Linked DNA regions of Saccharomyces cerevisiae S288C. The main gene of each other region encodes a partner of the protein of the gene in region 2 in a complex. Each region holds a gene or a part of one and is shown on either strand. Other genes may lie near its edges. A codon is read from its position in the direction of its gene.

Region 1 (7,353 bases), on a different chromosome or scaffold from region 2:
GAGTTGGTGGAGCTATCTCTTTTCCTAAAGTTTCCCTTCATATTGTTTCAATGTAATGAACTCCTTTAATTACTTCCGTGACTGAGGATGTCAGTTTTTATATCAAATCAATTTTCAAAGATTTAATTATTGCTTCCCCTTCAAGATCAATTCGGAAATAATCGAAACGTCTTCTGGAAAGAACAAAAAGAAAGATAGAAGAAAACGCGAGTGAATGACCTATATCTTCCTTAAAGATCTATGCGATGAGAGATGCCGATTTAAGAACTGCTTTACAAAAACGCAAATCTCAAGTAAAGAAAGTGCCTCCCAATTGAGCTTTCCTTCCTTCTTTATTTTTTTTTTTTTCCAGTTTTTCATAATTTGTTGTGGCTCTCCAAGGTTTTCTGAGGCTCGTTGGCGGAGAAGTTACGTAACCCGGATGCTAATAGTGCATGATTATATATCAAATATTTAGTTATATGCATCGTAATCGTAAACTCTGAAACAATGGATTATCGCTAGTGTATATCTTCTTCGGTCTTATCTTGGTGCGACTCATGGTGCGGTACAAAAACCTCTTTGATTTCTTCTTCATGTGAATCCGAAATCATTTGACCCATTGTTTCCTTAAGTTCCTTTGATTTCTTCGTATATTCTTTCAAAGAAGGTAACAACGACAGTACTTCCTCCTTATCAAGCCTCACATCGGCTGTACTTTTTATGGGGTCGTTCAACATCAGGTTCAATTCGTGGCTATCATTTCTAAAAGTTACTGGGCCATCAGGATGCATAAATCCATTAGTAGATTCTAAGCCATATGTATATTCCATTGCTTTGTTAAGTACTGGATGCAGATCTTTTTGTATTAGCTTCTCAGTGAGTCGTTTCTTGTTGTTTGTTTTTAAATTCATGCACAACTTCCTAGTTTCCTCCAAAAGGTTTTGTTCACGTGAAAGAATTGCTTCCAATCTCTCATTATTTTGTAGTTCTTGTGAATACCGGTTTTGAATAAATTGTCGCTTAGAATAAATATACTCGATGTCTAGATCTCTTTCCGATATCCTAGAGGGAAATTTGGCCTGTCTTAGCTTCTTCTTTATCTTTGTGAGGATTATTTCAAGCAAACGTTCCTTCTTAGAATATATTCTTTTAACCTCATTATTATCGCCATGCGTCATTTGGTTCATTTCCTTTTCGTACTTCTCAAAGACAGAATCAAGAGCGCTTACAGTGTTAGTCTCTAATAAACGAAGTATGGATCCTATCATTATTTTAGAAGGCTTTTTCCAATGCTTTAATTCATAATTGCGCGGCAACCTTTCTCTATACTCAGCTTGTATTACCTTCCTGAATTCCCAAGGTCGTACATTGCCCTCTCCACTTGTTGCGCTTCCATCCGATAGATGAGATTGCAATTTACCTGTACTTTCCTTGCCAACCTCAAATCGAAGTTGTTTAGATCCTTTATGATGGTATTGTCCTTCTTCTTTGTTCGTGCGCTCTTCTATTTCTCCTTCTTCAGCATCATCAGAGTTCTCATAAAAAAGCGACTTCTTTGATTGGGTGCTTTTAGCTTCTGGTGCTACGTCCAGACGTAAAGTTTTAATATCATTCACATTCATGAGAATGCTGCTATCGCTTTCAGAGGAACTTCGGTTGGGTGACAGATCCATGGCCTGGCCATTGTTAATTGAATCATTTTCAATATTTTGTAAAAAATTATCTCTATCAGCTGCCATACAGTATACGTAGCACTAGTATCGCTTGAATTATTCGTCCATAGGGTGCAAGTTACCTCATCCATTGTTGCTATGTACCTCTATCTGTATTAACTTCGAGGTAGTAAACAAATGGGTGGACCGTATTGTGACTCTCCGGGTAACAAAAATATGTTATTTAAATGAAATGACCGGGATGATGGTACTCTCTGAATCTTTCCCTTATCTACCTACAAGAAAATGGCAAATATTGTCATAATAAATATAAAAAAAAACTGTAGTTTCTTTTTAAATTTTTCTACTTAAGTTTAGTTATACTGTACCTAGGTATATATAAATATATATAAATAAAAGTGGCCAAGAATAAAAGAACGCACCCCGTCGTTGACTTAGAAGTCATCATCAAAGTTAATTTCCTTGGATGGGGTAGCGGACTTAGACATGTCACTGGCCTTTTGGTAGTCGGAAACCTTCTTTTCAAAGAAGGTGGTCTTACCAGCGGTAGCGACATCCTCCATGAATTCGAATGGGTTGACGGCGTTGTAGTATTTTTCGTTACCGAAACCTTGTAATAGACCGTCAGCGACAAATTCTATGTAGGTGTGAATGCTCTTCAAATCCATACCAAATTTTTCTACTGGCAAAGAGTTTGAGTAGTATTCCTTTTCAATTTCCACGGCTTCGGTAATGATTTTTTCAATGATCTTGGGGTTTGGCTTGGTTCTCAAATGGGCAAATAGCAAGCATGAAAAGTCAGTGTAGGCACCTCTGTCTCTACAGATGTTTCTGTTGGCCATTGCTAAACCTGGCATAATCTTTTTGTCAGTCAACCAGAACATAGAAGCATAGTTACCAGCTTGGAAAATACCTTCCTTTGCAGCAAATGCTACTAGTCTTTCAGCATACAAGCTGTCATCGTTGGAAATCCATCTCTCGATGAAAGCAGCCTTATGCTTGACTTCAGGCAAATTGGCAATTTCCTTGAATAGAGGGATGTTCTTAGGGTCCTTGAAGAAGGCATCAACCATCATGGAGTAAACTTCAGAGTAGATGTTTTCCATCATAATCTGGAACCCGTAGAAACTCTTACCTTCAGGGTTTTGCAATTGGGCAGAAAAGTTTTCGATCAAGTACTTGTTGACAAGGTTGTCAGAAGAAATGGACAAGGCTAACAAGTTACCGATGTAGGTCTTCTGGTCATCAGTCAATTTTTGGAAATCTTCAGTGTCCTTAGCCAATTCGATTTCTTCCGCAGTCCAGAAAGAGGCTTCAACCTTCTTGTAAGCAGCCCAGATTTCGTGGTATTTGATAGGGAACATCACGAATCTACGGCTGTTTTCCATCAAAAGGATTTCATCCTTTTCAGCTTCTTTCATATCATGACGTTCTTTTTGGAAAGTCTTCAAAAATTGGTTATGTGCTTCCATTGTAATAACTAATTGTGTGCGTTGCGCGGGGTTGTGTGGCTCAAAAAGATCTGTTTTTGTATTAGCAATTTTTTATTTCCCTTTTTAAATGAATTTTTTTTCTTTCTGTTTCGAGACAAGGCCTTTTGCAAAAAAAAAAAAAGTAAAAAAGTGAAATTTGATAGTGTAAGGGGACAGAGGTGGGGTCAGAAACCAATGTATCTATTGATAGTCTTTTTTTGATCGAAAAGCCAAGAGACAAAAAATGAAGAAAATGAGAGATAAGGAATGAAACTTTAGGAACATTGAAGATTCAATCGCCGTTTTTATACGCCAGAGCTTCATGAGACCAAGGAAGGAACGGACGTCGTCTACCGATTACAGTAAGCAAAGAGGATGGTGTTGCCACAACAACGCCCATCGGGAAGGCAAGAGACGCTGTGGTGAACAATAACTGCCAAAACGTGGTTCTCGCACGCTGAAAAGCGCGTTCTCGTGCGCCGCTTTCAGTGTGCTAGAACTTGCACTGTCCGGTTTCCGGTGCTTGGTGTTGGGTGGTCGTACCTGCTAGTTCCATTGGTGCGGTGTATGGGCGGGTACCCTCAAAAAGGGAAACGAAGGTAGGCGCACGGTGCTTATTAAGCTCAGAGGCGACCTCGCAGAAGGGGGCAGACCACACAAGCGGTGGAGGCGCTCCAGATATTCAGTGGAGTGGGGCTTGCTCATGTTCTGTTGTTGGTTTTGGATAGAAAAAGAGCGGGTTGAATAGTTTGCCATGGCAACCACTCTGGAAGCGAAATCACATAGACGCGTAAACACTCACACACAGGATATTCGTATAGCAAGGTACTAGTGGCGACACTCAGGTGGTCCTCGTTGCCTTATCTCCAGATTCCTCAATTTCTGTGAAACGTAAACATTATGGGAATAGTCTAGACGCGTACTTCATTTTCTTTGTTTCGTGAAAAGTACACTTTCCCGTCTTCGCCGGTTCCCTTTCTTGCCTGAAATGCTCGTTCTAATGGAAAAAAAAAGAAATAAAGGTGGGCCTGCCCATTAGCAGGAAATTGGTACTTAATTATTGAAAAAAAAATTATTGGTTGCTAAGAGATTCGAACTCTTGCATCTTACGATACCTGAGTATTCCCACAGTTAACTGCGGTCAAGATATTTCTTGAATCAGGCGCCTTAGACCGCTCGGCCAAACAACCACTTATTTGTTGAAAGCGAGCGCGGTACAAGTAATGTTACCTCATCTGATATACAATAAAGGTGGAGCGCCAATATATACGCATTTGACTGTTCATAATTCATTGAATATAATTTATTCCTTGTTAGTACAAAAGGGTTAAACAGAAAAAGACGTGACGTTGTAACCGAGAGGATGGTAACACCGCGGTATCACCCACTCGCCCAGCCGTTAAATCCAATCATCCGAATAAAATGTTTGTCCTTGCTAGTTTGTCCTGGTGATAAAAGCCATGACCACTTTTCTTGGAGCCTGCATCTGTTATCTCTCCCGTCGATAATGGACTTTGCACCGGTGTATTACCCGCAAGAATTCTGATAACGTTCAAGCTAAAACAAAACTGCTAAATGAGTTCTGAAATGGCATTTATGAGTACATATGATAGATTTGCTATGTATCAAACCTGGAACTGGCGCTAGCGCTATGGTTTCACTTCCTCATTAAACCATACCCTTGACGATTTGACAGGTCGCTACAGATTCAGAAAGAGATCATATCAATACAACAAATAAAATATAAGCGAATAAAGAGCAATGTCTTTCCCCTTTAGTCACATTACTAGCCAACGCTAATTCTTGATCTCCTTCCTCTTGTTTCCGGTGTATCTTAGTTTTCCTGGCGTTGCCGAAGAGTAAAAAAATCCTAGGTCCTAAGATTTATAAAATCGACAAAAAGAGGATTCAAGTAGGATATCTGTCAGTTCAAACCAATCAATCTTTTCTCTCCAACAACAGTTTGAGCTTATTTAATCAAGAAAATGGGTCTATCATCTATCTTTGGCGGCGGTGCACCATCACAACAAAAGGAAGCAGCCACTACTGCAAAGACAACCCCAAACCCTATAGCCAAGGAGCTGAAAAACCAAATTGCTCAAGAACTGGCTGTGGCTAATGCGACTGAATTAGTGAACAAAATTTCTGAGAACTGCTTTGAAAAATGCTTAACTTCGCCATACGCTACCAGAAACGATGCGTGCATTGACCAGTGTTTGGCTAAATATATGAGAAGTTGGAATGTCATATCAAAGGCTTACATCTCCAGAATCCAGAACGCCTCCGCTTCTGGCGAAATCTAAACACACCATCAGGATCAATTTACTGCGCAGTATGTACTCGTACTTGTATATAAGATTCAAAGGATACCAAGAAAATGCTATTACGTTTAATAACGTCGAAGAACAGTATTGCACTATACTTGCTTGGTATAGATATGTACAAAATATATGTATATACATAAAATGAGTTATTCTTTTTCCTAATTCTCTTTTTCCTTTAGTAGAATATAAAATTATAATAAGGATTTTGTGAACATCTGACAGACAGGCTCGTTCGTGTCTATTTCCATTCTGAAATTTGAATGCGCTTTGGCGAGACATAGATTTGTGTCAAAATATGAAGTTGAGTGCCTTTATGAGGTTGGGTTGAACATGAACAACCAGCCAAAATAAAAAAATAATAAATAAGACGAGTGCCACTTATATAGCTTGAGAGAGAGAGAGAGCGTTTGCACGTATATGTGTGACATAATCAGCGTTTACTCATCATCGTCGTCTCCATCGCCTGCAGCTATTCGAGCCTTGACATCTTTCCATAATTTTCCTTTGTTGTGATTCTCGTACCATGAAGTAATAGCAGTATCAAATACAGTTTGGAAAACAAAGGCACCTGCAAAGATAGTACCAACAAAAACAGCGTTTCGTTTGAAAAAGGTTTTATATAGTGATGAAAAAGACTACTCATAATTTATGCATTGTTAGTAACCTGAATGGAAACGCATGGAACATATTCATAGAGCTGCTGTCACCAATTTCATAAGCTTCGCTAAGTCGTTGCGCTCATCGGTGGGAAACTAATTTCCAAAGCCCATGATACTTGGCTAAGGAAGATTCCACGGATAACATTTTTAGCCTGAAATGTGAAGCAGCACACACACACACCAACATACCATTTTAGTCCGTATTGCTATTGTTGCTTTACGAAATTGCGAAGGATATGAAAATCAACCTTCAACGATTATTGACTATCCGTGACAGGACATTAAATACAACTGCTAAGCTAAAGTTTGAGAGGGGATGTCATTAGGGAAAGGCCCAAGGATTGAGCAGCTTTTAGGTCCTAGAATTCTTTCGGCATTGACTTCCCCGCGTTTGATTGGGTCGTGTATAATGATACATATTAACAACTGGGGAGTTCAAAAGTTGCCTTCGCTAGATAAGGAAACTTATGATAGTCACTTCGAAGTATTTGTAATTAGGTTGGTATTACTTCTTTGTTAATAATAAATAAAAGTCAATCGACGCGCAAATGTTTAATAATGTATAAGTTTTTATATACAAATATGTCAACTATAAAACATAGTAGAGGGCTTGAATCTACCAAATCTCTCGCTCATCAGAGTCATCATTATCATCAGAGTCATCCTCATCGAGGTTTCTTGGATTTGTATTTCTTATGATAGTAGCTCCATCAAATTGAGGTCCTAAGAACTGCAATATTGGTGGGGGATTCTGAGGTGCATCATCATCGCCATTTCCCTGCGGTTGTAGAGTGTTCCTAAAGTTTTCGAAGAATTGGAAAAAATCACGTACTCCGCCACCAGCAATACCTTCTGCGCCAACCCCAAATAAGTTGGCGGCCTGTCCAGTTTCATCATCAACATCCATTTCGTCATTTCCCTCCGTAAAAAACCCGTCTTCTCCCTCTTCCATATCTTCATCATCTTCATCTGTTGGAGGTATTCTTCTTGGCCTTGGTTCTCTATTAAATGCAAACAAGAAACCATTGGAAAGTATAGTCACTCGAAATTCGTCACCCATTACTCTACTAATATAACCTGGAATTTCATTGTTAATCCATAATCTGTTTAAGTGCTCATATCTTTTCAAATTCAAGGTGGTTAAATCACCTCTTCTCATGGCATTTCTACCAACTTCACCATGCGAATTTAGATATGGTGCAGATATAAAAATATTAGAAGGAGGCTGTGTCAAATGGAGACA
Region 2 (6,747 bases):
AAAATATATATCGCAAGGATTTTTCCTTTCCATTGGCATGGCCCTTCCTGCCGCCCTAGGTGTTGGAATTGCCATGCAAGACCACTCAAACGCTCACATCAATGGTGGCAACGTAAAAGAGGACTATAAGCCAAGATTAATTTTGTTTGAAGGTGACGGTGCAGCACAGATGACAATCCAAGAACTGAGCACCATTCTGAAGTGCAATATTCCACTAGAAGTTATCATTTGGAACAATAACGGCTACACTATTGAAAGAGCCATCATGGGCCCTACCAGGTCGTATAACGACGTTATGTCTTGGAAATGGACCAAACTATTTGAAGCATTCGGAGACTTCGACGGAAAGTATACTAATAGCACTCTCATTCAATGTCCCTCTAAATTAGCACTGAAATTGGAGGAGCTTAAGAATTCAAACAAAAGAAGCGGGATAGAACTTTTAGAAGTCAAATTAGGCGAATTGGATTTCCCCGAACAGCTAAAGTGCATGGTTGAAGCAGCGGCACTTAAAAGAAATAAAAAATAGAAACTTGTGGGCGCAATTATAAAACACTGCTACCAATTGTTCGTTTTCTGTTCATTAACACATAAAAAACCCTTATGTAACTATATTTACAAAGTAAATACGTATATTAAAGCTATTTTACCACTACCACAGAGTTCTTTGTCCAGTTGCTAGTATTTTTTTTTTCGCGACGAGGCAGGGGCGGGGAGACGTGTTGTTTTTCCACGGCTTTCGGCTCACCACTTGAAGAACTATAAAAGGCCGCCAAATTTATCCTTTTTCACTTCTTCCGTTCGCTTTTTTCTGTCATTCCTATCGTGTGTTTAGTAGTAGGTTTTTTTGTTAGAAGAAGTTTTATCCGAAAACTATCGAAGACAAATAGATAAAAAAATCTCCCTCGTTCTATTTGAAACTTTAAGAAATCCATATTAAGAAAATACCTACATCTGCTAAATGTCTGCTAACTTAGATAAATCCTTAGACGAAATCATTGGCTCTAACAAAGCAGGAAGTAATAGAGCCCGTGTCGGTGGTACTCGTGGTAACGGTCCAAGAAGAGTTGGTAAGCAAGTTGGTAGCCAACGTAGGAGCCTTCCAAACAGAAGAGGCCCTATCAGAAAAAATACTAGGGCACCTCCAAACGCAGTCGCTAGAGTTGCCAAGCTCTTGGACACCACTAGAGAGGTCAAGGTCAACGTCGAAGGTTTGCCAAGGGACATTAAGCAGGATGCTGTAAGAGTATGTTAATACGTGAAATGAGAGCTATTTGTTTAGTTACTCGCATCGTCTCGTGTGGATACGAGAAATATTCTTTGTAAGGAAGGATATGGCACACGCTTTTGATCAAGAATTCTCTTTTTAGAGATGAAGAAAGAGTCCGAAATACTTCGCTAGAGAAAATACAAAAAGAGTATCGTTTTCATAAGCCAACCATACCAATTTTTTTCAATACTTCAAATCATGGCCTATAAGGTTGGAATTACCAGCTACCACTGAGAATGGGTTTGTTCTTATTGGCTGGGTTAACTCAAATCAATCTGACTATCTGCTAATCTGTCAATCTTACATTTTTAAGCTGGCGTATTGTGTCGCCTCGACCGTGATAGTTAGTTCCTATTTTTAATAAGCGTATCATCCAATACTGAAGTTGTGGAAGGATCAATTAATTTTGTATCCTTTCAAGAGGGAGTAGCTTTCAGTTTCGAATGGCACCATTTTCAAAAAATAGCTATGGGAAACATGTCTTTCATGAACGTTCGAAAAGATATGAGTGCATCGCTTCATTTTTTTATTATGATAGTTACAAAAATATTTGATTTGAGACACCTAATGAAACCAAAGAGGAACTCACCCATCGTGGTACATGTTTATTTGAGGGTTTATTTTTCCTACGCAATGGTATACTTTTAATACTCTCAACTCCTTGATTGTTTGTGTATTGTCCCTTCCTTCTTTGATTTTATATCATAGAGATATATGACTAACTTTTTTTTTTTTATTATAGGAATTTTTTGCATCTCAAGTAGGTGGTGTTCAAAGAGTTTTGTTGAGTTATAACGAAAGGGGCCAATCTACTGGTATGGCTAACATCACATTCAAAAACGGTGAATTGGCCAGAAGGGCTGTTGAAAGATTTAACGGCTCTCCAATCGATGGAGGCAGATCAAGATTGAGACTTAACCTAATCGTTGATCCAAACCAACGCCCAGTCAAAAGTTTAGCCGACAGGATCAAGGCTATGCCACAAAAAGGCGGAAACGCTCCAAGACCAGTAAAGAGGGGTCCAAATAGAAAAGCTGCTATGGCAAAATCCCAAAACAAACCAAAGAGAGAAAAGCCTGCTAAGAAAAGTCTTGAAGATCTGGACAAGGAAATGGCGGACTATTTCGAAAAGAAATAATTAATTGTCAATTTTTTGTTTGATTTAATTTGGTTTTATTAAATTTAATTTTTCCGAGTTTCATTATGTATTAGTTTCCAGAAAATTTAAAGGATTAAAAAATGTATTAATAAAACTTTGATATGTTTATGTAATAATATTTACCACCGCCACTAGGTGACGCTAACCTACTCATCGGTGACGGCTTTTCTCACTTTTAAAGTTTATTCGGCATATTTGACTCATAATATGTCACTATTTACAGTGCGATGAATATATATATACATAATACTGCATTGAAAAAATGGATAGGTTGATTAAACGTGTGTTACTCGTTTCTCCTCCTATCTAAAAAACCTAATTTGTCACCTCTTTTTCTTGTTACAGCACTAAGCCCGCTACCTTCATATTTACTCTTTCTTACTAATTGATGGTCCTCAGAGCAATCAATGTTGTCTCCTCCATCTTTAGGTATGGGGAACCCTGGTTTGACTTGAGCAAGGTTATCATAATAGTTTTTTTCATTCACTTCACCATTGTTTCCCCGCGCCTTTGGTATAAATTTAGCATCTCTTCTAGCTTTCACTATGGTCTTGACCACATAAATAGACGCAATCCCGGCTGCAGAAATGTATAGTAAATTCTTACTGTTGAAATCGCATTGGTAGTGTTTTCCTACTTTCGTCTTCACTTTGGTTATATATATGGTGCAATCAAACTCTGCTTCAAGGGATAGGCCAATAAGGAAATAACCAAAAAAGAAGTCCGGGAAATAGAAAAAGATATCCAATGTTAGTTTAGGCTTTACGAATAGATGTTTCCCTATTTCTTTTACACATACCCTATATTTTGAAATGGATTTGACATTGTATACTTAGTACGGCTCAAAGAATGAAATATTACTATATTTATCTCTTCATCTGCCTTGATTTTTTTATATGCAAGCAGGACGCTCGGGTTTGTAAGGAGGAAGATTGAAAAGGATGTCTTCAACTAAAAGGCGAAGAAGGAAGCGACACATTTGTGATGCTTTGAGGTCAGTAATGTAATATATATATATATATATATATATATATATTATATAGTGTAACTGCTCTTATTTATCTTGTCTATTCGAACCCAACAAAAAAGGCTGCAGTGGGAATCTGTTCATGTGGCTGTATCACAACCAAGGGCTACCGTTTAAGAATACTGGAGAGCTCTTGTCGTCTCTAATTTTATGATCACGTGCCCATTCTAGTCATTACGCAGGTAATGCGAAAATTACAGTATGGATCGTGTAAAGTTACCAAGCAGAAAAATTGTAATAATTTTCTTTTTCCAAATTTTCTCGGTATCTGAAATTTTTCATTTAAGAGATGATATTTGGACTTACTCTAAACTATTACTTTACGTATCTTTGATTTAACTTCCAGTTACAGATCGTTAAGGAATAGTCCGCGAATTTATTACCGCTTAAACTGATTATTTCAAATATAGAAAGTAATATCTATTAATCAACAACAGAAATGAAATACTTAGCTGCTTACTTATTATTGGTTCAAGGTGGTAACGCTGCCCCATCCGCCGCTGACATCAAGGCCGTCGTCGAATCTGTCGGTGCTGAAGTCGATGAAGCCAGAATCAACGAATTGTTGTCCTCTTTGGAAGGTAAGGGCTCTTTGGAAGAAATCATCGCTGAAGGTCAAAAGAAGTTCGCTACTGTTCCAACTGGTGGTGCTTCTTCTGCTGCTGCCGGTGCTGCCGGTGCTGCTGCCGGTGGTGATGCTGCTGAAGAAGAAAAGGAAGAAGAAGCTAAGGAAGAATCTGATGATGACATGGGTTTTGGTTTATTCGATTAAGGAATTTAATTAATAAACAATTTTCTTGTTTTCCTTCATTTTACAAAATCTGGTGTAAATCCTCGATTCCATTGTGATTTAAAAATAATTAATTACTGTATAAGATTCTATATAGACAATTAATTGAAAATAGTATTACTTCTTTAACTCGCTTAGGATTTTTTTTATTTTTTCTCTCTTTTCCGGAGAATTGCCAAATGTTTTCACGGCCTCTTCCAATAATAGCTTCATTTCTTCCAACGCAACTACTAGTTTCCCATTGTAAGTGGCGAAGTACTCGCTGATATCATCATCTTCAGAAGCTTCTTTAATGGAAGTTGTTAAAGAATTTATAGAATTTGTTTGGCTCAGAATATCTGATAATTTACTTTCGCCTATTTGGAGAGCCTGACATTTCAGTATTAAATCTTTCCTTAAATTACTATACTCGCTTAGAACTTTGAGATCATTTTCCACTTCAACTTCCTCTTCGTCTGCTACTTCCATCTGCGGCAGCTTCAACACATCTTCAATTAATCTCTCTATCGATGTACTCTGAGGTTCACCCTCAACTCTATTTCTTAGTTCACTTCCAAGAGAGTACTTTGGTATGTCTCCAACAAGTTCCATTATCTGCTGCGATTGACTGGCTCTCAATTCAGACTCGTTATCGTATATCTCTTTGCTCAGTAAGTCTTGTTTTCCCCTGCTCATGGCATCCTTTCTCTTTTCAATTACTTGAGCCTTTAGTAATCTGCACACTTCATTTGGTAATTCGCCTGCTAGGTCATCCATGAGGTAGTCATCACTCGACAGCAGTGCGGTCAATTCATTTTCTATAAAATTGGATATGCTATTATATGTGTCTGTCATCTTATTCCTACAATCTATTGTTGCTTTAGTTTCTGTGCACATTTACCAAAAATATTTCTTCGCATGTAGATTTACCTCTTTTCCCCTGTGACGCGTCATCGTTTTTATATCACCTTTGAACAAAGCAATATATCTGTACTCAAAAGGTACAAACGAAAGTTTTGTTCACGAGAAAGAGATATTTTACATGCGAATTAAATCTTGATTGCCTGAATTCTTCACTATTTTATGATTTTTCCCTTCCTTCTTGAAATTTGATTTATATTTAGTCCAAATATTACAGAAAAAAAAAAAAAAGATGCCTAAGCCTTGGGTCTTATTTCGAACAAATCCATCCATCGGTAACAATTCAAAAAAAGAATATTTCGTCTCGAACAATTTGCTAAGTATTGTGGGTAAATGATATATAAATTTTTATAAAAACTCTTGGCCAAGAAAAAAAAAAAAGACTATGTCTAAACGTAACGTTATCATTATTATTAAATCATTTTAATGTTTTATAAGTTTTGTTTTTCATTTCATACCCTTTAAGGAGCATTTGGCATTGTGTGCGCCCTGAAGGCTAAATAAGAATTTGAAGGACTCACCACAGAACAGTATAGCGAATACCAACCGCAGCAACTACTTAAAATTCCAAAATAGCCACCGGCCATTTTGAGATTGTTGTTGTCAATGAAGGTGCCGATACACAGTAGTAGGAAGGTAAGATCCAAAAACGTCAATAGTAAGAACAAACCCCACGTGCTCTTCAATGTACACATCAACATCAAGAAGGTGAAAACGGTCCAGCCCGCAAGGAAGAACCCAATGACATTGTTCAACATTGTGGGATCGGTATAGCCGCTGACCAAATTATCAGTATCTGTTAGCCCATAACCGTAGCAGATCCAGAACCCGCCGAAAGAACTGAACACAGTCATGGCGTATGTGTCCCCAATGACAAAACACAATAACCCGGCAAACAATTCAATGGCACCACCAAAAAACATAAACAAACTTAGCGCCCATTTACCATCAGTGACGCCGCGAACGTTCGCATTAATTAGCGACAGAACTAGACATGACAGAGAAAACGATGCGAGACCCAAAGGAACCGGATTAGCGAACTGGTGCGGAGTATACTTTGCACAGTTTCCTTCCTCCCCATCCCCTCTGTCTAGTGCATTGAGCAAATCTCTGCGCCTGTAGGTGGAGGATCCTAGAGTAATGAAGTCTCTGTCGGAGTATATCTCTTGAATATTAGGGAAGCCCTGCGAAACGCCTGCAATCGAACCCTGCTGGGGGAGCGTCTCAATATTTTCTAGAGTGTTCACACCCTTTTCCAAATCCTGTGGAGAAGAAGCAGACGATGTCATTTTAACCAGTATTTTTATTTTTTATTCTTACTAAATCTTTCTGGGAATGTATTCAGTTATATGTGACCCAACTGTTTATAAAACTGGGGGAATATTAGGCAATCAAGCGAAGCTCATCGATGAGTATTCAATTTGCTAAAAAGTTGTTTTATTTAAATATTCCTTCTGAGTCACGGTCATCGTGAATAGCGTTAAAATTCTCAAATCCATTGGTGTTTCCATTAGGCCCTGAGCGGTTCCCCAAGAAAAAAAAAAACAGTAGAAAAAAATGATGCTTCTTCCTAACGCTATTGTAGTGCAGGTTCTGCCGTG
Region 3 (6,738 bases), on a different chromosome or scaffold from region 2:
CCTCATTTTGGTCACGGTTGGCGAGTAAAGTACGTCTGCAGCTGGCGGAATATTTGCATACGGCTTCGCCGTTTCTGCCACTGGTTTAGTGATAACTTTCTTCGGAGGTGATGCCTGATAATCCTGCCGAAATTTACCAATTAGCGGCAATGTGTTACCTTGAGGACTTGGACTTCTCGAGTTCGAGACAACTTTCAGAGGCAAACCTTCTCGCGGAGATGGCTCACTCGTAATTCTTGAAGAATTCTTAGTGTTTTTTAACGGCGACACAGACGCTAAGTTTGTTTCTCCAGATGTATTATTTCGTACCTTCCCACTCTCTCGAATAGAAGATTCAGATTTTTCTATGATGGAAATTGATGGCGATGCTACAACCACTGGCATGTCCGATTTTTTTGTAATGGGCTTACCAGAGGATGGAAAACTAACAGCAGTACTACCGCTATCACCCAGAGATGATATATCCTTACCGTTTTTCTCATTTTTCACTTTTTCAATAATCTTCAACGGTTTCATACCTGCCTCGATATCACTGAGTTCTCCTTCATTGCGTGATATATCATCACGTGAGGTGGATTTGATCTTCACAATCTGAGCAATATTGCAGAACGCAAAAATCACTTCCGAAATAGATGATTGAGCTACAATTCGTGGTATTAGGTCCCCATATGTGAGAAAATATCTTGTTGAAGTGATAGCATGAGATAAAGCACTCTTTAAGTATACTATTTCGTTTTCTAAAGAACTTTGCAGTGAAACTGATGATAGGACAGGTAAGAGATCGCCTATCAACTTTGCTATCTTAATTATAGTCTCAAGCAGAATCGGCAGGCGTGTGGTGGTGGTATCCACAGGATCAATTCGATGGAGCGTGTTTTGAAAATAAAGTGTAAATTGAGTTTTTAATTCTCGGAAGACTTCAATGGATATAATACCATTCACGCTCATAAAATCATCGTTTATTTTGAAGGATTCAAATAATGTGTCATTTAAATAGAAATTTAGATCACCCTCGTCTAACCCATTGTTATGCGTCCCCATATCCAAATGATGTAAGTTTCTCCTTTCAATTTCCGTGAAAATATCAAGAATCAATTTATGGAACTTCGCGTCCTTCAATCGAGACAGTTTAGATTGTGCTTTACCTCTTTTCAGATCAAGATCATTTAGTGATGCATCCGCACCCGAATCTGTCAATCTTTTCATCAATTCATCGTTGACATCAGTCGTCAGTTGCCAAAATTGTACATTCGACAATTTTGTCAGGTCTTTATTTCTATTTTGGCGGTTTTGGTTCCTTCTTCTATCATCTTCTGGTACAGAGGCCTCTATAATTCTTTTGAAATTCTTATAATCCGATATAAGGTCTATGATTTGATCATTCGTTAATTCTGAGCTAATCATTCTTTTTATTTCGTTATGGCCACATTATGATATTCTTTTACTTTACTGTTTTAATTTTATATTCTGCGATTCAAATCATAACAGATATTTAGTTGAATAACTCTGTTTTTCTTCATTTCCATTTTTTTCTATTTACCCTTCTTCTTTTTATTTTACGCGTCTCGCGTTTTATATATTAATAGTAATAATATTTAATAGTGTATGTTTGAAATTTTTATATGTCTTTATTTCGCTAACGTAAAAATCCCTTCTTCTTTGTAGGGACGGGGGAGTGGTTAACATTGGGAGAAGCACTATTTATTGAAAGTTCTAGCTGTTTTTTCTTGTCCTCCAAAGCTTTTAATTGTTTAGTTAATTTTTCCTTCATTTCTTTATGTCTAGCAAACAATTCAGTTTCTGATTTTTGTAGTTTTTTCTCCTTTTCGGAAACTTTTTGTTGGAAAACTGTTTTCATTTCAATTTCTAGTTTGGCTAGTTTTGCCTCATGTAAAGTTTTTTCTTCTTGTTGTTTAGATATTGGATCGAACTCTTTGAAAACTGAATTATCTTGCTTAATACCAAGTTTTGCCAATTTAGAAGACCTGTAGTTTTCGTATAGTATCTTGCTTGTCCTTTCCTTTAATTCCTCCATGAATTGCTTGATCAATAAATTTTTCAAAAGGTTGAAATCAGAGTGGTTGTCATTGTCCACTTCGATCACCCCCCATGGATAGGAACGGCCTCTCACTTGATTACCACTGTAGTTCTCTACAATATCGTTGGAACCAATAACAGCATAAGGTAAACTACTAAATAGTCTTTCGGATAAATGGCTATTTTCTGCATCATCGTTGGAATAAATTGGAGGCTTGAACAGCTCGATATTAGATTGGATTAACTGGTTCATAATGGTCTTCTTGAAACTTAAGATCTCTTCATCAGTTAAGATGTCAGATTTAGCAATGACAGGAATCAAGTTACATTTTTCATATACAGATTGCATAAACTTCAGGTCCAGGGGCTTTAAGTAATGTCCTGTAGGTTCAATGAAATAAAGACATGCATGGATTCTTTTATCGTTTATTGAATGTCTGTTGATTTTGTTCTCCGCATCCAAGTATTGATCAAAACGAGAGTCAATCTCCTTAATGATCGGGTCCCATGATTTTTGATCATTATTTAAAAAATCACCAAATCCTTCAGTATCGATCACGTTCAAATTCAGTTTAACACCATTTTCTTCAATAACCGACTCATATGACTTAATTTTGACCTTGTGCCTTTGTTCTTGTGATTGGTTCTCGTGACCCTCGCCCTGACCCTCCTCTTCTTCCTGATCATTTGCAAGTTCCTCCTCGTAATCTTTCACTAAATTGGCCTCAATATCATCATTATTAAATAAAGTTTTCATTAAAGTTGTCTTACCAATACCATCAGGGCCGACACATAGGAGATTGAAACTGAATCCGTTCTTTATGGACCTTCTGTGCCATTGCTTGGGCAAATTAGCAAACCCTACATAACCATTGATTTGACGACGAATGAACTTAATCTCCGGTTGGTCAGGCAGAACTTGACCCTTTTCGCTCTGAGAGGAGGTGATGCCCATACCGAGGCCGGGTTCCACCTTTACATCGGATTCAGCTGCCTCAAATCTCTCGCTGTCGTCATTTTGCGTACCGTTCGTGTACTGCGAGTCCACTCCATCATGATCCTGCGACTCTTGTTTGATCTGAACATCATTGAATTGATCATGCTGACGCTCTTCTTGTTCCGGGTCCTGCTTAATGGACACTTGTTCCTCCTTTAAACTCATGGCAACGTATTATAGGCCGATGTAATCGTTCAGTTGTCGTGTGATCCTGGATTTGATATTTTCTTGATCTGCTTTCCTCGAGAGATTTTAACTTAATACACAAAACAACACAAAACGCAATTCCTAAAACCGAGACAAAAAATGGCAAAAAATGGGAAGCGAAAACACGCCCCCACCATATCATTACACACGTAGATCATAAAAGACGAAAATACTAAATTAGCCGCCCAGGTGGTTCCTTTTTACGAAAGGAAGGAAGGAGAAATCTAGAGGTGCTGCTATATATGTTTGCAAGGTGCGAGAATATTCTGTCACAATTATCAAGCAGCAAGTTATATAAAGTTGTTTCTCACAGCTTCTTGCACTCCCTTGCGGTGCCTTTCCTGCACCACTAGTGTAACTGCTGATGTCTTCCATTTGATGTCAGAATCGATTTCTTGTTACGCCACGAACAGTTAATATATAGAATTAAAGGAATGATCTTGTACAACTACAAGATAACAATAGATTAACAGCCAATATTACCGTCGCCGCTGCCCGCTTCGCGGAGAAACAGCGAAAAACAACGAAGATCGTTCTCGAAAAAGCCCAAAAGCTGGGTATAACGCAACAAAATAATCATAGATTTGACAATTGTGCTCCCAATCTTGCTTTGAAATTACCATTATAAATGAACTCTGAACAGCTGCTGCATAACTATGTTTCGGATTCGCTACTCACTACTCTGATAAGTTTTCAAGAGTTCAAGCAGCAACTACAGTCGTACACGAGCGACGAGCAACAACTGCAACATTGGTACGAATTGCTTCAGGCCAGGGATGCGCGAGTGACCTCTGAGTTAGAAGCACGAATCAAGCAGTTTTTCATAACGTTGCGCTCTAGATTACTGCGATTTCTGGAAAGCGAGCAACTATCACACTCCCTTAGCCTCGAGACACTGATCGACGCGCTGTACAAGATTAATGACCTGTTGCAACAGCGTTTGCAGATTCTGGATGATGCTATTCAGGAAAAGACCTCGGAACTAGCAGAATTTGAAAATATGGTTCGCTCACCGAGTGCAGGAGACAATGCCATTCCTGGCCTATTACAAATTATACAATCTTATATTAATCTATTAGAGGAAAACTAGCAGCAGACATCCCGGTCAACCTGCCCCACAGGATATTCCTCGCCGATCCATTGAAAGGCTTCGTATGTTGAGTTTAGCTGTTTGTTATCGTTCATGCAGTACCCGTCACCACTCGTTAATTTTAAGCTCCCGGTGCGCTGCATCTCTGTAAGGAAGACCACTCGTCTCACACGAGAATGGATCAGGGCCATGGAGCACATTGAGCACGGCTCATGGGTCAAATAGACGTCGTAATCAAGACACAGATAAGAGTTTGCGTCTTCGTCTACACCCTCCCTGAGTCTTTCGCCTACCGCACGGATGCCCACCATTACACTGTGGTCGATGGGTAGCGAGTTTTCGCAGTTTCTGCCATCTTCTGCCACCACTTTGTCCTTCTTTCTTGATGGGTCAACAAAGACGCTCACCATTGGAAACTGTTTTCCTGCCGTTGCCATCTTCACAGACAACGTCGACGCACGCGATAGCTCATTTCGTACTTCCTGCATGTCTATTTTATAGTCGTTCAATATTTGATCATTGGGGTTGCCGTTCCAAATCAACGGCCAGTACTTCACAGACCAGGCATTGTTCAGTTCCTTTGTGCTGGGCGCAAACTCAGGCACTTCGATATCATCACTCAGTTCATACTTTTTCGTTCCAACCCAAATACTCTTCAATTTATTGTTTATTTCACCTTCGTCGCAAATATACTCTTTCGAACACAACACCACTTCCAAGGTGGAGGTCTCGATGTCCTTGCGGATCCTTTTCAAATGTCTCAATGAAACAGGGTCATTTTTCTGAAAATCGTTTCGAATTAGCCTACTTTACTAGTTAGTTTACTTCCATGAATACAAAAGCAAAAATCATATACATACTCTATTACTTTCTTCGAGTCTCTTGGATCTATTCTTATACTCCATACATTGACTGCACTTATATATGTTTGAAAGTTAGTTAATTGATCCTGATTTCTGTTAGATCTCATAGATACATACTTAGTTTGGGCGTATTTACATCTTTGAAATTTCTAATTTGCAGAAGCCGATTTTCTATTATCCCGTTCTGATAATCGATTTTTAGCGGATTATTAACTTTCTTAACCATAACTAACACGCCCTCATGAATATTATCCTTCTGAGGTTTGAATAATATATACCTTTAGATGAGCTATTGGTGATTCGCATTTAGGAATGAAAAAAAGTAAAGCATGGCAATGAATGACACAAGTGAAATAGAAAAGTGAAAAATTAAAAAAAAAAAAAAAAAAAAAAAAACTGATTTATACTCATGAAAATCTTATTCGAGTTCATTCAAGACAAGCTTGACATTGATCTACAGACCAACAGTACTTACAAAGAAAATTTAAAATGTGGTCACTTCAATGGCCTCGATGAAATTCTAACTACGTGTTTCGCACTACCAAATTCAAGAAAAATAGCATTACCATGCCTTCCTGGTGACTTAAGCCACAAAGCAGTCATTGATCACTGCATCATTTACCTGTTGACGGGCGAATTATACAACAACGTACTAACATTTGGCTATAAAATAGCTAGAAATGAAGATGTCAACAATAGTCTTTTTTGCCATTCTGCAAATGTTAACGTTACGTTACTGAAAGGCGCTGCTTGGAAAATGTTCCACAGTTTGGTCGGTACATACGCATTCGTTGATTTATTGATCAATTATACAGTAATTCAATTTAATGGGCAGTTTTTCACTCAAATCGTGGGTAACAGATGTAACGAACCTCATCTGCCGCCCAAATGGGCTCAACGATCATCCTCATCATCCGCAACTGCTGCGCAAATCAAACAACTTACAGAACCAGTGACAAATAAACAATTCTTACACAAGCTCAATATAAATTCCTCTTCTTTTTTTCCTTATAGCAAGATCCTTCCTTCATCATCATCTATCAAAAAGCTAACTGACTTGAGAGAAGCTATTTTTCCCACAAATTTGGTTAAAATTCCTCAGAGACTAAAGGTACGAATTAATTTGACGCTGCAAAAGCTATTAAAGAGACATAAGCGTTTGAATTACGTTTCTATTTTGAATAGTATTTGCCCACCATTGGAAGGGACCGTATTGGACTTGTCGCATTTGAGTAGGCAATCACCAAAGGAACGAGTCTTGAAATTTATCATTGTTATTTTACAGAAGTTATTACCCCAAGAAATGTTTGGCTCAAAGAAAAATAAAGGAAAAATTATCAAGAATCTAAATCTTTTATTAAGTTTACCCTTAAATGGCTATTTACCATTTGATAGTTTGTTGAAAAAGTTAAGATTAAAGGATTTTCGGTGGTTGTTCATTTCTGATATTTGGTTCACCAAGCACAATTTTGAAAACTTGAATCAATTGGCGATTTGTTTCATTTCCTGGCTATTTAGACAACTAATTCCCAAAATTATACAGA
Region 4 (7,326 bases), on a different chromosome or scaffold from region 2:
ATCATCTTAACTATTCATCAGGGAAAATTAATATACATTGTGCTCTTAATGTTTCGAAAAATAATCAAAATCAATAGAAATAGCGTTTTGCTACTAACAAAGCCCTTTGATCCAAAGTTGGCTTCTGAGAACTTAACATTTCAGTAGAACAAGCCTCAAGCTTAAATGAAGAATGGCAAAGTAAATGAGACCTCTCTCTCCATATTTTGCTCAGAGCCTGTTAAGGAAAACAACACCGCACATTAGTGTGAAAAACTTTCCCCGCAAGCTGTTGGAAGATGAATCATTTATTATCTTTTGACTGTTAGCTACATTACTAGCTGTTATCAATCTCTCAGACGATTATATGAATATTGAGATAGTTGTTGGGATTAACTTATTGTTAGAGGCTATAGCATCAGATATACAAAATAAAATAAAAAGTTCTCCTCCAAGATATAGTGTAATCGATATTTCGATGTAATGCCATCATTATTTCTTCTATTTTATGTATTCCTATTGTCCTCTAACATTGTATCTGATAATATTCTAGTAATAGGATTACCATCACTAAATGATAGTTAATTCTCATTCCAAAACCGACTCCTGTCAATATTGAGGACCCATTTATTCCAACGGTCCAAATCCCCAATATTCCCTGCTCGGCAAGAAGTTAGAAAACATATCTTTCGTGCTCTTGCAGGCTTGCTGTATTATCATAACCGAAGGATGACCAACTTTGATCACCCCAGGTGGCAAAAACATAATACATGGTGGTGGTGTCGTTGTAAAAATCATCTTCTTTGGGTGTGTATAGGATCCCATCCAACACACGTGTTAAAATGACATCAGGTATCAATGCTAATCCGTCGTCACTGACAATAAGCTGAGTTGACATCACCTGATGATGTGAAATAGTAGCAAGAGAACTAGGGTAAGGTTCATGCTGGTTGTTTTCCTATGATGACCAACCTTTGGAATTGGGTAATTCTAGGTGTAGCCTGCTAGCCATCAAACGAGACCTTTCAAAATCTTCAGTCATTACATTTTCTTCTGTAAATAGGGAAAAAAGCCTTTAGCTAGGATTGTTCGGCAATAGAAAGCCCTCCAGTTTAAACTTGACATAGAAAATCTTTAAGGTTAAATCAAACATAAGTTATTATCCGATATAGTGTAACGGCTATCACATCACGCTTTCACCGTGGAGACCGGGGTTCGACTCCCCGTATCGGAGTTATTTTTTGTTTCTATACCATTATTTTTCTTGAATGTTGCATTATGATAGTATAGTTTTGCTATACAAACTTCAATTCTCAAAACACAGTACGTCTAGCTCACTACTACTCTCTCTAATTCAAAATCGTTCACTTCTATCGAAAGCTGTGATAATTTGGAAATATTGTCGTGGGCCACGAATGATTTTTCAATTACATTGCTAAATACGAAGACATTAATACCTTTATTCATATAAGCACTTTCATTATCATTTTTTACTAAAGATAAAACTAACTGCAGGCACCAAGAAGTTCGAAGCCAAGAGTAAAGATGTCAGGAACCGGATTATCGCTATTCGTGACGGGTCTTATACTGAATTGTTTGAATTCCATTTGCCAGATATACTTTACTATATTATATGGTGATCTTGAAGCAGACTATATCAACTCAATCGAACTGTGTAAGAGGGTGAATAGGTTGAGTGTACCAGAGGCAATTCTACAAGCTTTCATTTCTGCATTGTTTCTTTTTAACGGGTACTGGTTCGTATTTCTCTTGAATGTCCCTGTTCTAGCATATAACGCAAGTAAAGTCTACAAGAAAACACATCTACTGGACGCCACGGATATTTTCAGAAAATTGGGTAGATGCAAAATTGAATGCTTTTTAAAATTGGGATTTTACCTTCTCATATTCTTTTTCTACTTCTACAGAATGGTCACAGCGTTACTTGAAAATGATGCAAATTTGATAAGCTAATAGCGACAACAGGAAAAAAAAAGAGAGATTTGTGCATATCTATGAAGTATGTCTACCACATAAAAATGACCTTATAACACAACTTCCTTAGTATGGAAGTAATACATATATACATATATACATATATACATACATATATATATATATATATATATATATACATCTTTTGAACCAATTCCCTATAGACTTGGTTGTAATTCGTTAGAAAGATTTTCATTAATTTTATTTATCTTTTTCAGAAGTCCGTTATATGGATCCATCAAGTCTACGAAATGTGCAATATCCAGAATATTTGAGTCATCCCGTATTGAATCGTCCTCGCTATCTTGGCTCATAATTTTGCGATCTCCCTCGTATTTGCCTAGCAAAGTAGAAGTCAAATCATTTAGCCTCTTATTTAGCTTCACTTTGTCGTTCAGTTTGGCTTGTTCATTTTGTAAGTCATGCCAGTCTTTACCGGCTTTCAACTCTTGAATTTCATTTCGTACCGATATTATCTGCTGGTTCAAATCTTCTTTTCGAGCAAGTACCTGCTTCAGTTGGTAGCAGAGCTCATTATTCGACACGTTGATATCTAATATGTCTTTCAAGTCTCTGGTCATTTGGTCTGATATCGTTTGAAAGAGTCGCAGATCTAATTTGTACAATAGTTTCCTAAATTGATCATCATCACTTTTATTGAAATCCTTCAAAGCTTGCGGAATCAAATCATTTTCAAATAAGTTTATGAATAAAGAAGATAAAACATCAATTGTGGTCACAGAAGTGATAGACGATGATAGCTGTCTAATGGGTATATCATCGAAATTGTAACGAGTAGTAAGGTCTTCATCATTTCTAACATTTTGCGGCGATTCGCTTATAAGACTTTTATTTTCAGAGTCGATCATGGGATAGTCTTCTGCATCCAAGGGCTGATACCCATGTTCATGACGGTCCTGCGCATTTACGTTATTAGTGGTAATAGGAAACTCGAAAGAATTCGCAAGTTTTGGTGAAGACAAAATGGGTTGAACAGGAGATTGAATAGGTGAGTTCTCCTCTCTATAAACAGCATTTGGCGTCTTAAATACAATAACATCATCATCTATATCGTCTGTCCTTCTTGAATGACTGCCCCTCAGCCTAAAAGCTAATTTAGTGTCTCTATCCATACTGAGGTTTTTCTTTAAATGAACACGCAAATAGTCAAGACAATACAGAGCAACACAGGACACGTAAAAAAATGAGAGCAATCGCTTCTTATACTGCAACGATGTTGACCCTTGCCATAATAGCTAATGAAATCAATCATTATCATTTCTACTAGTCCTTTAACAATATTTGGATACACCATTAAATTTCTCCGTACAACACGATAAAATATTTTCTACCAGCTTCAAACGGCTGTGAAGGGGCGATAGTGCCGTTCCAAAAAGCGTTCCCCAAACTTGTATTCAAGACCAAATCTTAGTCAAGCAAGCAGTTTCGCACCTTCATACACTCCATTAAAAGTGAAAATAAGCATATTTGTAATTAAATCTGGTTATCATACCCTGTTCCCTTTAGAACCAATATACATAGACGCAGTCGACAAAGAAGCAATAAAAGAGATTACCATTCTTATTCACTATTTTTTTTTTTCTCTGACTCTTCATAGTTGTACGGAAAACCATCTGCGTGTTATATCCTAGTTCCAAATATTCTGATTTCTCGTGATCGAATCTGTTATATTGTCATATATTGTAATTCCATTTTTTTCCCGGTTCATTTTTTGATATTCTCTTCCTGTTCCAATATTAATAAAGGAGGCTTTTTTCTTTCCCTTTCGTTCTGATTTATATTGTTTTTACTATTATTGGATCTTTTAAATATTACAGCTTTTTCATATCCTTCGCCATCGATTTTTGCCTGAAAAATTTACACAAATGATGTCTAACGTTGCTAACGCCTCCCAAAGACAGGAAAATCCATATATTATTCCATTGCCTCCTTCATCCACAGTGGAAACTTCTACTGAACCCCCAAGAACGTTATGGATGGGAGATTTGGATCCGTCCTTCGACGAGGCCACGATTGAGGAGATATGGTCAAAACTGGATAAAAAAGTTATCGTTAAACTAATTAGAGCCAAAAAAAATTTGTTGATTCCTTGTAGCTCCACCTCAAGTAGTAATAACAACACAAGTGAGGAGAATGCTGAAAACCAGCAATCTGCATCAAACAGCACTGATCAGTTAGATAATTCCCAAATGATTAATATTAATGGAATATCCTTCATTGATCCTTCCACTACTCAATTACATCATGCCGGATACTGTTTTGTCGAATTTGAAACTCAAAAGGACGCTAAATTTGCCCTGTCATTAAATGCTACACCTTTACCTAATTTTTATTCCCCAACAACTAACTCCCAAACTAATCCAACGTTCAAAAGGACTTTCAGATTGAATTGGGCGTCTGGAGCTACTTTACAAAGTTCTATACCATCTACCCCAGAATTTTCCTTGTTTGTTGGTGATCTTTCTCCCACCGCCACTGAAGCTGATTTGTTATCTCTTTTCCAAACGAGGTTCAAATCTGTTAAAACCGTCCGCGTGATGACTGACCCTTTAACAGGATCATCTCGTTGTTTTGGATTTGTCAGATTCGGTGATGAAGATGAGCGCCGCAGGGCACTGATTGAGATGAGTGGGAAATGGTTTCAAGGAAGGGCCTTAAGAGTCGCTTATGCCACGCCAAGAAATAATATGATGCTGCAGTTACAGGAACAACAACAACAGCAACAACAATTGCAGCAACAGCATCAGCAGCTAGATCAGGAGGATAATAATGGCCCTCTCTTGATTAAGACTGCAAATAATCTCATTCAAAACAATAGCAACATGCTTCCTCTCAATGCCTTGCATAACGCGCCTCCAATGCATTTGAATGAGGGCGGCATTTCAAACATGCGTGTAAATGATTCACTACCTTCAAACACCTATAATACAGACCCCACTAATACTACTGTTTTTGTGGGAGGACTGGTACCAAAAACTACCGAATTTCAATTACGTTCACTATTCAAACCCTTTGGACCCATTCTAAATGTCAGGATTCCCAATGGTAAAAACTGTGGGTTTGTTAAATTCGAGAAGAGGATTGATGCTGAAGCTTCAATACAAGGCCTGCAAGGCTTTATTGTGGGCGGCAGTCCAATAAGATTATCATGGGGACGCCCATCCAGTTCAAATGCTAAAACAAATTCGACCATCATGGGGGCAAGCCAATATATGTCCTCAAATGGCCTGAGAGCGCCATCTGCGGCTTCTTCAGTCGATAACTCCAAACAAATTCTTGAACAATATGCGGAAGATAAAAGGCGACTCTTTTTACATCAGCAGCAGCAGCAGCAGCAGCAGCAGCAACAGGATGGTAACTTTTCTATGGAGCAAATGGCGCACAACAACTATTACAACTACAATAATTACGATTATCACAGGAACAAGAATGGCAGCCATAGCGACCTCGTTAATCTGCAGAGATCTAATGTCCCGTATATGCAAGAAGACGGTGCACTGTACCCACACCAATATTCAAGTCCCTCATACTCGCTCCATCCGACGGGCAACCAATTCTCCAATGCTACTAATAACTTACCTCAATTTGGGAACGCGATGTCAATTTCTATGCAACTGCCCAATGGCAACAGCAATAAAACGGCCTCAAGCATGAACACAAACCCTAACACAAACATGATCATGAATTCTAACATGAACATGAACATGAACGTAAATCCAGTACCATACGGAATGGGAAACGGTGCAAATATGTATGACGTGTCCAGGATGATGACTCCTCCCTTAAATATAGCCCCGAATTCCAATAATTCGAAATCGAGCATCATGAACAAGCATCCTAATAGGAACAATGTTCCGCCAATTCATCCTTCTCTTCTACATTGATTACAAAAGACAAAAAAAGAAAATTTTAATCTTGTCCGCAGTTTTATCTGCGTCTCTACGTTCTTACGTTTCTTCTATTAATGCCATTTCAGTTACAACCTAGTCAATTGTCGATCCATAATTCTAATCAAATTTGTTTTTCCTCTATACTACCTATCTATTTTTATCTATCTAAGTACATTTATTTACTCAAACAGTTCCGTTTCAAAGTGTTTTATATTAACTATATATGCGAAAAGCTGGCGTCATAATTTCACGTGTTATAATAGCCATGCTGACGGAAAAAAAATGTGAAAATCGCTACAAAGTCCGATGACTACGGGCAGTAGCATGTAAATGATGGACACACACACACACATATATATATATATACATTTACTTCAATAAAAGGCTGTGCCAGACATTTTTGCCATACATTGTTCATGAAGTGTGCAAAATAAGAGAGTGTATAATAGGATAAAAAATGGTCAAATCGCTACAGCTAGCCCATCAATTAAAAGACAAGAAAATACTACTAATCGGAGGCGGAGAAGTCGGCTTGACAAGGTTATATAAGCTGATACCTACAGGTTGCAAGCTGACTTTAGTATCTCCTGACCTACACAAATCCATTATTCCGAAGTTTGGAAAATTCATCCAGAACGAGGATCAGCCCGACTACAGAGAAGACGCTAAACGCTTTATCAATCCGAACTGGGACCCCACGAAGAATGAAATTTACGAGTACATCCGCAGTGACTTCAAAGACGAATACCTCGACCTAGAAGACGAGAACGACGCGTGGTACATAATAATGACCTGTATACCCGACCACCCTGAAAGCGCAAGAATATATCACCTTTGTAAGGAAAGATTCGGTAAGCAGCAGCTGGTCAATGTGGCGGACAAACCTGATCTCTGTGACTTTTATTTCGGCGCCAACCTGGAGATAGGAGACCGTCTACAGATTCTGATCTCTACCAACGGCCTTTCTCCGCGCTTTGGCGCTCTAGTAAGAGATGAGATCCGTAACTTATTCACACAAATGGGGGATCTGGCGCTGGAGGACGCTGTCGTCAAACTAGGTGAGCTGAGAAGAGGAATTAGGCTGCTGGCACCAGACGACAAGGATGTCAAGTACCGCATGGATTGGGCCAGACGCTGCACAGACCTCTTCGGCATTCAGCACTGCCACAACATCGACGTAAAACGTCTGCTGGATCTTTTCAAGGTCATGTTTCAAGAACAGAACTGTTCCTTGCAGTTCCCTCCCAGAGAACGGTTGCTTAGCGAGTACTGCTCGTCTTGAGCGACAGGGCCTCCTCTTTTAAGGGGCGCGTCCTTTCTATTGTGTAGAGAAAATCTACTGGGATTTTGTATATATTTCGCATATATAGGGGTTGGAGAACGAACAACAATGCCTGTTCAGATCAACTTTTCTTCTATCTTATCAGGCAAGATCAGGCAC

What was found.
Region 1: the proteins of NKP1 (region 2) and OKP1 are in contact, whole or in part, in a cryo-EM structure (PDB 6QLF), measured with the Saccharomyces cerevisiae proteins. Residues at the interface, in NP_010671.4 of Saccharomyces cerevisiae: Thr2 (codon at 5,077), Asp3 (codon at 5,074), Tyr5 (codon at 5,068), Asn6 (codon at 5,065), Ser9 (codon at 5,056), Asn10 (codon at 5,053), Glu13 (codon at 5,044), Arg56 (codon at 4,915), Gln59 (codon at 4,906), Lys64 (codon at 4,891), Tyr67 (codon at 4,882), Ser71 (codon at 4,870), Arg74 (codon at 4,861), Gln79 (codon at 4,846), Met82 (codon at 4,837), Tyr91 (codon at 4,810), Leu118 (codon at 4,729), Gln122 (codon at 4,717), Arg147 (codon at 4,642), Lys148 (codon at 4,639), Ile151 (codon at 4,630), Leu152 (codon at 4,627), Lys153 (codon at 4,624), Gln155 (codon at 4,618), Ala156 (codon at 4,615), Gln158 (codon at 4,609), Ile159 (codon at 4,606), Gly160 (codon at 4,603), Lys163 (codon at 4,594), Ile167 (codon at 4,582); in NP_011695.1 of Saccharomyces cerevisiae: Tyr238 (codon at 1,010), Arg241 (codon at 1,001), Gln242 (codon at 998), Gln245 (codon at 989), Tyr248 (codon at 980), Ser249 (codon at 977), Leu252 (codon at 968), Gln253 (codon at 965), Glu256 (codon at 956), Ser263 (codon at 935), Arg264 (codon at 932), Asn267 (codon at 923), Leu268 (codon at 920), Glu271 (codon at 911), Ile340 (codon at 704), Lys341 (codon at 701), Ser342 (codon at 698), Thr343 (codon at 695), Ala344 (codon at 692), Val346 (codon at 686), Arg347 (codon at 683), Leu348 (codon at 680), Asp349 (codon at 677), Glu352 (codon at 668), Val353 (codon at 665), Leu356 (codon at 656), Leu357 (codon at 653), Leu360 (codon at 644), Tyr363 (codon at 635), Ser367 (codon at 623).
Region 3: the proteins of NKP1 (region 2) and NKP2 are in contact, whole or in part, in a cryo-EM structure (PDB 6QLF), measured with the Saccharomyces cerevisiae proteins. Residues at the interface, in NP_010671.4 of Saccharomyces cerevisiae: Thr2 (codon at 5,077), Asp3 (codon at 5,074), Thr4 (codon at 5,071), Ser7 (codon at 5,062), Ile8 (codon at 5,059), Phe11 (codon at 5,050), Ile12 (codon at 5,047), Glu15 (codon at 5,038), Leu16 (codon at 5,035), Thr17 (codon at 5,032), Leu19 (codon at 5,026), Leu20 (codon at 5,023), Asp24 (codon at 5,011), Ala31 (codon at 4,990), Gly32 (codon at 4,987), Leu42 (codon at 4,957), Val46 (codon at 4,945), Lys49 (codon at 4,936), Arg50 (codon at 4,933), Ala53 (codon at 4,924), Met54 (codon at 4,921), Lys58 (codon at 4,909), Gln59 (codon at 4,906), Leu62 (codon at 4,897), Glu65 (codon at 4,888), Ile66 (codon at 4,885), Asn69 (codon at 4,876), Glu70 (codon at 4,873), Leu73 (codon at 4,864), Arg74 (codon at 4,861); in NP_013419.1 of Saccharomyces cerevisiae: Ser3 (codon at 3,876), Leu6 (codon at 3,885), Leu7 (codon at 3,888), Tyr10 (codon at 3,897), Val11 (codon at 3,900), Ser14 (codon at 3,909), Leu15 (codon at 3,912), Leu16 (codon at 3,915), Leu19 (codon at 3,924), Ile20 (codon at 3,927), Trp42 (codon at 3,993), Leu46 (codon at 4,005), Val53 (codon at 4,026), Leu57 (codon at 4,038), Arg60 (codon at 4,047), Ile61 (codon at 4,050), Phe64 (codon at 4,059), Phe65 (codon at 4,062), Leu68 (codon at 4,071), Arg69 (codon at 4,074), Arg71 (codon at 4,080), Leu72 (codon at 4,083), Leu73 (codon at 4,086), Leu76 (codon at 4,095), Gln80 (codon at 4,107), His83 (codon at 4,116), Leu85 (codon at 4,122), Ser86 (codon at 4,125), Leu87 (codon at 4,128), Thr89 (codon at 4,134).
Region 4: the proteins of NKP1 (region 2) and AME1 are in contact, whole or in part, in a cryo-EM structure (PDB 6QLE), measured with the Saccharomyces cerevisiae proteins. Residues at the interface, in NP_010671.4 of Saccharomyces cerevisiae: Tyr5 (codon at 5,068), Ser21 (codon at 5,020), Asn36 (codon at 4,975), Arg40 (codon at 4,963), Lys51 (codon at 4,930), Arg56 (codon at 4,915), Gly57 (codon at 4,912), Leu61 (codon at 4,900), Lys64 (codon at 4,891), Ile159 (codon at 4,606), Ser162 (codon at 4,597), Lys163 (codon at 4,594), Ser169 (codon at 4,576), Gln170 (codon at 4,573), Ser173 (codon at 4,564), Ile174 (codon at 4,561), Leu177 (codon at 4,552), Ser180 (codon at 4,543), Ile181 (codon at 4,540), Glu183 (codon at 4,534), Ala184 (codon at 4,531), Tyr193 (codon at 4,504), Phe194 (codon at 4,501), Tyr197 (codon at 4,492), Lys200 (codon at 4,483), Leu201 (codon at 4,480), Ala204 (codon at 4,471), Leu205 (codon at 4,468), Glu207 (codon at 4,462), Leu211 (codon at 4,450); in NP_009770.3 of Saccharomyces cerevisiae: Leu175 (codon at 2,585), Arg176 (codon at 2,582), Gln179 (codon at 2,573), Asp183 (codon at 2,561), Arg187 (codon at 2,549), Lys190 (codon at 2,540), Asp191 (codon at 2,537), Asp194 (codon at 2,528), Ile195 (codon at 2,525), Ser198 (codon at 2,516), Glu201 (codon at 2,507), Leu202 (codon at 2,504), Gln205 (codon at 2,495), Ser282 (codon at 2,264), Ile283 (codon at 2,261), Arg284 (codon at 2,258), Asp285 (codon at 2,255), Asn288 (codon at 2,246), Ile289 (codon at 2,243), Ile292 (codon at 2,234), Phe295 (codon at 2,225), Val296 (codon at 2,222), Leu298 (codon at 2,216), Met299 (codon at 2,213), Pro301 (codon at 2,207), Tyr302 (codon at 2,204), Leu305 (codon at 2,195), Leu306 (codon at 2,192), Lys308 (codon at 2,186), Ile309 (codon at 2,183).

What each region holds. Positions count from the first base shown.
Region 1 is NC_001139.9:853,175-860,527, forward strand, and holds OKP1 (Okp1p), read right to left. Parts: upstream 1,722-7,353; coding exon 501-1,721; downstream 1-500. Other genes in the region: PBP1 (Pbp1p), read right to left, coding at 1-41; ribonucleotide-diphosphate reductase subunit RNR4, read right to left, coding at 2,090-3,127; protein translocase subunit TIM13, read left to right, coding at 5,113-5,430; QCR9 (ubiquinol--cytochrome-c reductase subunit 9), read right to left, coding at 5,889-6,086, 6,300-6,302; E3 ubiquitin-protein ligase UBR1, read right to left, coding at 6,727-7,353. UniProt on the Saccharomyces cerevisiae protein: Component of the kinetochore, a multiprotein complex that assembles on centromeric DNA and attaches chromosomes to spindle microtubules, mediating chromosome segregation and sister chromatid segregation during meiosis and mitosis.
Region 2 is NC_001136.10:1,235,597-1,242,343, forward strand, and holds NKP1 (Nkp1p), read right to left. Parts: upstream 5,081-6,747; coding exon 4,364-5,080; downstream 1-4,363. Other genes in the region: phenylpyruvate decarboxylase ARO10, read left to right, coding at 1-529; RNA-binding protein YRA1, read left to right, coding at 962-1,246, 2,013-2,408; COI1 (Coi1p), read right to left, coding at 2,716-3,034, 3,229-3,254; ribosomal protein P2 RPP2B, read left to right, coding at 3,896-4,228; putative ammonium permease ATO3, read right to left, coding at 5,608-6,435. UniProt on the Saccharomyces cerevisiae protein: Component of the kinetochore, a multiprotein complex that assembles on centromeric DNA and attaches chromosomes to spindle microtubules, mediating chromosome segregation and sister chromatid segregation during meiosis and mitosis.
Region 3 is NC_001144.5:760,939-767,676, forward strand, and holds NKP2 (Nkp2p), read left to right. Parts: upstream 1-3,869; coding exon 3,870-4,331; downstream 4,332-6,738. Other genes in the region: SPH1 (Sph1p), read right to left, coding at 1-1,404; septin CDC3, read right to left, coding at 1,637-3,199; TAD3 (Tad3p), read right to left, coding at 4,328-5,135, 5,192-5,243, 5,312-5,420; EST2 (telomerase reverse transcriptase), read left to right, coding at 5,604-6,738. UniProt on the Saccharomyces cerevisiae protein: Component of the kinetochore, a multiprotein complex that assembles on centromeric DNA and attaches chromosomes to spindle microtubules, mediating chromosome segregation and sister chromatid segregation during meiosis and mitosis.
Region 4 is NC_001134.8:644,026-651,351, forward strand, and holds AME1 (Ame1p), read right to left. Parts: upstream 3,108-7,326; coding exon 2,133-3,107; downstream 1-2,132. Other genes in the region: ERV15 (Erv15p), read left to right, coding at 1,525-1,953; NGR1 (Ngr1p), read left to right, coding at 3,861-5,879; bifunctional precorrin-2 dehydrogenase/sirohydrochlorin ferrochelatase MET8, read left to right, coding at 6,343-7,167.